2 linked regions of the Arabidopsis thaliana genome follow. The protein of the gene in region 2 interacts with the protein of the main gene of each other region in a biochemical or structural test. Each region holds a gene or a part of one and is shown on either strand. Other genes may lie near its edges.

The links.
Region 1: the proteins of AT3G06610 (region 2) and EMB2753 form a complex in vitro, tested with the Arabidopsis thaliana proteins (one study listed by BioGRID).

The regions. Positions count from the first base shown.
Region 1 is NC_003070.9:30,233,386-30,237,140, forward strand, and holds the start of EMB2753 (tetratricopeptide repeat (TPR)-containing protein), read right to left. Parts: upstream 1,601-3,755; 5' UTR 1,448-1,600; coding exon 1,397-1,447; intron 910-1,396; coding exon 831-909; intron 447-830; coding exon 364-446; intron 257-363; coding exon 107-256; intron 1-106. Other genes in the region: ATXRCC1 (BRCT domain-containing DNA repair protein), read right to left, coding at 2,059-2,343, 2,471-2,557, 2,637-2,750, 2,843-2,928, 3,099-3,210, 3,301-3,489, 3,590-3,755. UniProt on the Arabidopsis thaliana protein: Auxiliary subunit of the NatA N-alpha-acetyltransferase complex. Required for male gametocyte development, embryogenesis, suspensor development and the formation of the quiescent center (QC) in the root meristem.
Region 2 is NC_003074.8:2,058,502-2,062,256, reverse strand, and holds AT3G06610 (DNA-binding enhancer protein-like protein), read right to left. Parts: upstream 1,643-3,755; 5' UTR 1,421-1,642; coding exon 1,289-1,420; intron 1,191-1,288; coding exon 1,135-1,190; intron 649-1,134; coding exon 582-648; intron 505-581; coding exon 412-504; 3' UTR 104-411; downstream 1-103. Other genes in the region: AT3G06600 (uncharacterized protein), read left to right, coding at 1,799-1,891, 1,986-2,108, 2,334-2,699.

The DNA.
Region 1 (3,755 bases), on a different chromosome or scaffold from region 2:
AACAAGCTTTACACAAAGTAAAGTGATAAAAAGTATGAAAAATCAGCTTTGAGAATAACTGGCACACCTAATAAATTCACCTCAATCTAGTTTTTCTCATAATTACCTGCAGAAGTGAGAGGTCTCTGAGTATTTCAAGGTTATCAGGATCTATTCTAAGAGCATTTCGGTAGCATTTGATTGCTTCTCTATACTCTCTGTCTGACCGGTACAAAAGACCAAGCACATGCCAGCAAACATGGCTTTTGATATCATTCTGCATGAAAAAATTTGAAGTATATAAATCCTATGTTACCCTGAAAACAAAATACCATTTTGGAAACTAAGGAATAAAGTTGTGATTATTGAAGAGCATATTCAAACCTTCACTCCAAGTCGAACAAGCTCATATGCTTCAGTTTTGCGGTCCATACAGTTTAGAGTCAGTCCTTTCATCGATAAAGTCTCTGAAAATCACAAACAATAAGAGCGACAAGTTTTAAAAGAAAGAAAAGAATAACGAAAAGGGTTGACAAATCAAAAAAAGCAAGAACTGCGTTTAACACGAAACAGAACTGGTCTCTACTAACAAAACTAAACAATACCAAGCATTACCCTTGTACTAAAAAGTTAATTTATTTGCTCTAATAGGAAGAAAGAAAATAAAAATTCTAACAGTGATTGATTCTTAAGACTATAGACAAGACAACGAAGCGCCTAGTAGACCTACAAGTCATGAGATCTCGGTTGATGTATGTAGTATAGAGTTGTAAGTATTTAGATAGCAGTAAAAAGATTAGCACTAAATCACAAAGGAATAGAAGGAGATATTAGATAAAAGACAAACTGACCTCCATGATCAGGAAACTTTTTTAATATGGCATCAGCTGCCTTGAGTCCCTTCTTGTACTGCTTAGTCTCATATGATTTCTGCATTATAAGATTACTCAGAATAACTATATATGATGTACTTACTTGCGAAAATTACATAAAGAAAAAGGTCAACTATTCAAAGCAGGTTGAACAATATAATGGTTAAACCCAAAATCTATGCTGAAACCATATATATATTGATAAAGCTTGGTTTTCAAGTTCTTCAAAGTAAACTACGAATCCCTGAGCGACTAAAAAAGCCCAGAAGCAATCGAGGTCTAATAATAGCCGATAGTCAAAAGTAACTGAAGCTAAGAACTTGGTACATCAAATTAACACATTAAGGAACCACAACTCCGCACAGTTTACTTCATATGTCAACGAATTTTTCTATTGACCCAACACATTGACGATTAACTTAATTTAGGGTTTAATAGAGCAGATAAAACTCATCGTATTCCAATTTCTGCTGACCAGGAACATCACATCGCATGTTTAAGACAAAGTAAAAACTGAGAAAGAAAGAGAGGGAATCGGAACATACGACGATGAGCTTGAAGAGGTTGGCCTCCTTAGGAGGAAGCGAAGCCCCCATTTTATTGCGCTACTGAGAGAGCTCGCGAAGACGAAGACGGAGAAGAAGAAGAAGAAGATGTTCTTCGCGAGTTCGATAGGGTGAGAGAGAGATAGAGGTGGCGTACTATCCGCTTCAACCCTACTGCGAAACAAAGAAAGGCACAACTCTCACAAGACAAAACCCAATAAGGGTATAAATAAATTAGGGTCTTGTCTTCAATCAATCTTCTTCGATCCTAACCATATCGGTACATGTTTCCGGTTTCAATTCGTTTGTCTGATATTACAAAACGGTTATTAAATTGGATAGAACCAAACCGGTTCAAAACTGGAGACATCTGAACCTAATTGACCAAATCAAATTTGTATTAACCGATCAAATTCATCGTCAATCGACACTAAAAAGTATCAAATCAAACCGACTTATTAATTGCAACCGATTACATCTCTCAATCGAATCCAAACCAGCATAAATAAATTCTAATTAGAAACATTCTTTCCGAACCAAGCAGACCGGATTATTTCAAATTTTTATCAGTAATAACATCCTACTCAAACCGAACAAACCGAGTATAACAAGAATTCTTGGAATTCCTTAAGAGATCATATGCAAAATGAAACAAGTTTGATCTAAAGACACTCTAAAGAAACGTTCCTATAAGCAAGTTCGATCTCTTCTTCAGTCATCTCAACGGTCATATCACTGTCATAGCCACAAGCAACCCGAGAGGTCGATTCATCTTCGCCCGGTTTTGCTAGCTCAGCTTCGTAGATCTTTTTCCACGACTTTGCTTGTTTGCAAACTTCTTCCTTTGATGCTGTTGAATTTTCCTTTTTAGAAGACGATTCCATCTTTCCAAGCTCCTTCACTACACGAGGGACAAAGCTCCATAGCTCTGTAACTGATCCAATGTCCTAAAATTAAGAACATTCGAGAATAAATTCAACCAATGATCTTCTCAAAGAAACTGATCAAAGTTTAACAAATCCAAAAATGTACACAGGCGGCAACTATTATTGTTCAGACTTCAGAGATATTAACCTGCTTCTGTTCAAGAGAATCTATGGCGTCTTGTAAGCAGGTTAAGACTCCTTCCGCAGCTATTCGCTTGATTTCGCCTGGTTCTGGCTGTTACAATGGCTTTAGAATAACGGAAACATACAATCAAGAAAACATGTCTTTTGAAAGAGCATATTAATTCCCTTACTTTTTCCTCCTGACTCTCAAGCCATGAGATGGTTTGACTTAGGTCATCCCTGGCCCATTTCTTCACCTCTGTAACAAAAAATGGCTCTTTCACAAGATTGCAAGCTGATCTATTCTGTGAACATATGGAAATAAACAGTCATAGACCATTGATTGGAGCAAAATACGGTTCGTTTTGGTTAACCAAATCATCAGATTTAAACATGCCTTGGATGAGGTAGATGGTGTTCCCCTTGTTTCTGTTTTTTTCTCTACTTGCTTCTCTGGTTTTTTAGACAGGTGTTCTCTCTTTTCTGAATACAATCAATTAAGGTTCACAGAGTCAACTAAACATCGGAGTGAAGCAGTGCAATAAGAAAAGCTTTTCTCTTGTCATAAACGTAAAAACAAGGTGATTTGATGAACCTCAGGATGGTTAAAACGGAGATTCTATCTAAAGCCTTTCCAATATAATTCTTTTTACCTCGATTAGCATCTTGGGGACTACTGCTTTTCCTCCATGGTTTTCCAGCATGCATAAGGTATTGCTCGATATCTACCAACTTCTTCTGCGCATAACACTCAGTTATCCACTCCTGGAGACAGTGAAATCATATAAAATATCAGCAAAAAGGAGAAATTCAAATCCGCACACAATCCCTTATAAGAAGAGTCAAAGAGGTAACCTTTGAGATAATTGTTCCACCATTTGTTTCAACTTGACGGAACTTTGGAGTGTTAGGAAAAGCACAAATCAACAAGGTAGAGCCAGCGTTCCAGTCAGGTTGATAGGTGGCTCCCATTGTCAAGGCTTGTGACCTCAGTGTACTCCTCTCAGGATTAACAAAGCCCGAAAGTACAAAAACAACGCCTTCCTGCATAGTTTAACCTTCAACTCAATCACAAAAGCATATAAACTAACATGACAGCTTAAGATAATTGAGTCTCAACAAGACCATGAAGACACACACAAACCATAAGTTTAGAGAATTCAGTGGTATTTGAACTTGGCTCGGCGTGTTCTGACTTGTTGGAAGGGGCATTTCTACTGTTGTGCTCTTCGGTTGGTCCTTCATCCTTAGGCTTCTTACAATGAGACTTACTCGGAGTAATCTCGGGATCCCTAGAACTCATCCAAGAA
Region 2 (3,755 bases):
AACCTACAGGTTGATCAACAAACTTCTTGTTTCAATGAATACCTTCGTTTGGAAGTTCTCGTTGTGCATCAGTCTAATTCAAACTTTTTCTAGAAACTTGAATGTATTTCTATTTTGTTTTGCTTTGAAGTAGTACTGTACCAATGTTCCATGATTATCCCACAAGCTTTTTACAGCTCCAAGACCAAGTAAACGAAGAACACATTCTTATATCTTGATAATAAGATTGAACTTCAAACTTCAGGTAGAACCACAAAACACCACCCCAGAATCGATTGTAACTGTATTCAGGGCTTCTCAGAGAGATCGGTTCAGCAATAGACAATTTTAACTCGGTTAAATATTAGGAGACTTGCTCTCAACCTCTCAAACATACAAAAAACCTTGGAAGTAAAGAATGGTCCTGCTCCATCATAGAGGATATCGTGAAAGCAATTGCCTAGTCGCAGCAACCGCATCACCTTTGTGCTCCCTTAGAGTTCTTTCCGCCACATTCTTTTCTATCTGCTCATTTACAATGGTGACAAACTTCAGAACTTTGTGAACACATGCATAGAAGAAGCTAATAAAAAGAAGCTAACCTCAAGTTCGTTTACAATAAACTCAACATCTGCAGGATTGATCTTCACAGAGGCCAGTTCTTTCTCCCTGCATAAAGTTCCAATACTTTGTCAATCAAATACAACGAAAAGTCTAATCTTTTCCGAAAGATGATATTGACTCGTAAATCACATTCAATCACTTATTAATAATAAGTTCTACTTGTTTTGTTGATCATTCTCGCTGTGTTTTCTCTAGTAAAAGCTATTACAGCACAACTGATATCTGGCGTCAATACTATCTAGATGTGAGTAATTTCAAAAAAACAAACAGATTCTCCAAAATTGACACTCTTGGTCTAAATAGATAGACTTAAGTGTTGCCAAGCCCCAAAAAAACAGATAAACACCAATTTGTACAGAGAGATTAGCTACAGTTTGAACTACAAGTGTAACGCAGTAATCAAATTAATCAAGTTAATTCTGAATTAGGAATGGAAACAAACGAGTTTGACTTATGTTACAGCTTCATTAAGCATTGCTAATAATCTCCTATTTCAGAATTTAGAACACGGGAAAAGCTTAGAGTTTTTACCTCAACCTCTTAGCATTCAGATCAGCCTCCCTAGAAGCAGCAATCGAAGCCATAGCCTGAAACACGATACCGACTTTTCAATTTACTAATCGAGCTAAAAAAATTTCGGAATTCCTAATATTTTCAGAAATCAGGACACGAAAGAGTTACATACCGATTGAACACGAGAGGAATCGAGCTGGCGATCCTCGACACGATCGGTGAGCTTGTCGAAAGCTTTGCTTTGTTGCTGCAAGTCCTTTGAATCAACCGCTATCTCAGCCCCAGCTTCCTCTGCTCCCTCCATTGCTTCAATTTCTTCTCTTCTCTCTTTCGACTTCTTTCAGTTTCGGTGAAGAAAATTTCCGGCAACAGAGATTTTGAGGTTCGATAGTGTTTCAAGCTTCGACGTTAGAAACCCTAAAGGCTAATTCTATCGGGTGAGGCTGGAACCAAACCGGCTAAACAATACCACAACCGAACCGAATTCCGGTTTAGTAGGTTAATTTTGCGATGAGCGAGAACGATCTATATTGGGCCTTGAATAAAAATAGTTATCGGCCCTTAAGCCCATGTAAGAAGCGTACTACAAATAAAATTATCTTGCTTGATAGTTTTGTAGTTCACTCACTATTTCACATTTTCGAAAACTGACAAGCTCCAAATTTGAAAACATTGGAGAGAGATGAAGGAAATTCAAATTCCCAGGAAAAGCTTCGCGCGCTCATCAGAACTCGGAGCTAAGAGACTCAAGGATCCTGAGATGAAGAATCGGAAGGTAATTTTATTAGATCGATCCTTAAAATCGCCATTGTTTTCTTCTTCCCACATCGTTCTACTCAAATTCGAATCAATGCTTCTCTGAACTGAAGGTTACGACGGAGAAGAGACAGATCGCAACATTTTCCGACGTATCTTTTGAAAGCACGAAGGATCCGATGGATTTTAGTCCGATCTCTCAGATTTCTGGTGCGATCTCTGATTCCGAGGCTGAGGTATATGCTTCGCTCCAATGTTTTAGTTAGGTTTAGTTTCCATCGAAGTTTTTCGTTGTGTTGCTTTGTAAACGCTCAGATCCGTTAAGATTAGATGTTAAATTTTCGAAAATTGAATCGATTTTGTCTGCGCTTGATGACGAATTGGAAAGATTAAACCTCAATTTTAGCCATTATGTGTCTGGGTACTGATTACTGGCTCGAATTATGTTGTTCTCTCCTCAGAGTGTTATTCAAGGATCGAGCCTAGACTTAATGTCAACCCCAGAGATTTGTCTTCCGGCTGATGATTCTCCAGTTTCAACCATTACTAGTGTGGAGGCTCGTATTGACACGTCTTCTACTGATCGGATCCAGTCGATTGTGGACTTGCCCGCTTCTGTGCAATCCTTGCGTGGGGAGATCAATGAGCTGAAAAAACTGATCTGTTCAGTTGACAATTCTGCAGAAATTAACTGGGTCGATAGAGTTGTTACTGTGAAATTCCGCATTGTGCTTTTGAGTTTCATTCTTTGGGCTATCTTAGCTGCGATTGTGGTCTTCTTCAGCTCAGGAGAGGAACGTGCTTACCGTGGACCACTTCCAACATGATTCTTCAAGGTAATTCACTTTACGTTTCTTACCTTTGTCACATTGATTCTGGTTTCCTTCTCATAGGATGATAACAATAATAATTTCAACGTTGCATAAGATTGGGGTTGTATACTGATCTGCCTTCAATAGCACATTTATCCTGTTTGTCATTTTATGTTGCATCTCTGCTAATGAAGGTCACAGCTGTTTAGTTTAAGTTGGCTATTAGCACCTCTTGAACTTCAACACTATTAACATATTTCAACTACTGGGATGTGTCTACCAAAGGAAAGATCAGTTCTAACATTGTTTTTTATTTTTTTTTTAGAATTCACTCTTTAAAAATAACTGCAACACACGTTCTCTAGTAAAAGTAAGTACAGATATCTCAGTGAAGTCTTATGCGGTTGAAATGCTACCTTCTTCTCTCTGTGTCCTTTTTGTTGAATGTTAAACTTCCTAAGCCTTCTGATTGAATGTTTTAAATTTAGCTCATGCTAGGCCCAAACCAAGTAGTCTCTCACTAGATCCATTGGTAGGTTGAGAGTGAGTTTGCAAGTAGGCCTCATAAGCAGCTAGTTAGTCTCATTCCTAAGTCCTAACCAATGATTGATCCCTAAAATTTTATTGGCACAACTGATATGACACTTGATCGTCTCATCTATGGTGACTTGTGTTATCCAAATGCAAAGTCTTCTCTCCATCACACATTTGATACATAGGCTTCTGTAGCATTTAAGTTGCTAGGTTCTAATATACCTTGATGTGTTCCATTCTTAGCTCTGTTTGATACAATGTAATGCAACCCCACCTAATTTATTTGCTTCATATATATAGCATGCTTGTTTCTATGTGCATCTCAAATCGATAGGTTATATAGATCTTACCAAGACATGTGCTAGCCTTTGTTTCCATTCTCATGCAAGCTGTTCTTTACATTTTTGTATATTAAGCCAGACAAATCCTATGGAAAGTCCAGCCTGTTAAGCTTTTTGGGTAATTACTTGATTTGATCTTTCACAACTATTAGGATAAACTCTTCGAGGTATTAGGTTAGGTTTATTCTCCATTATG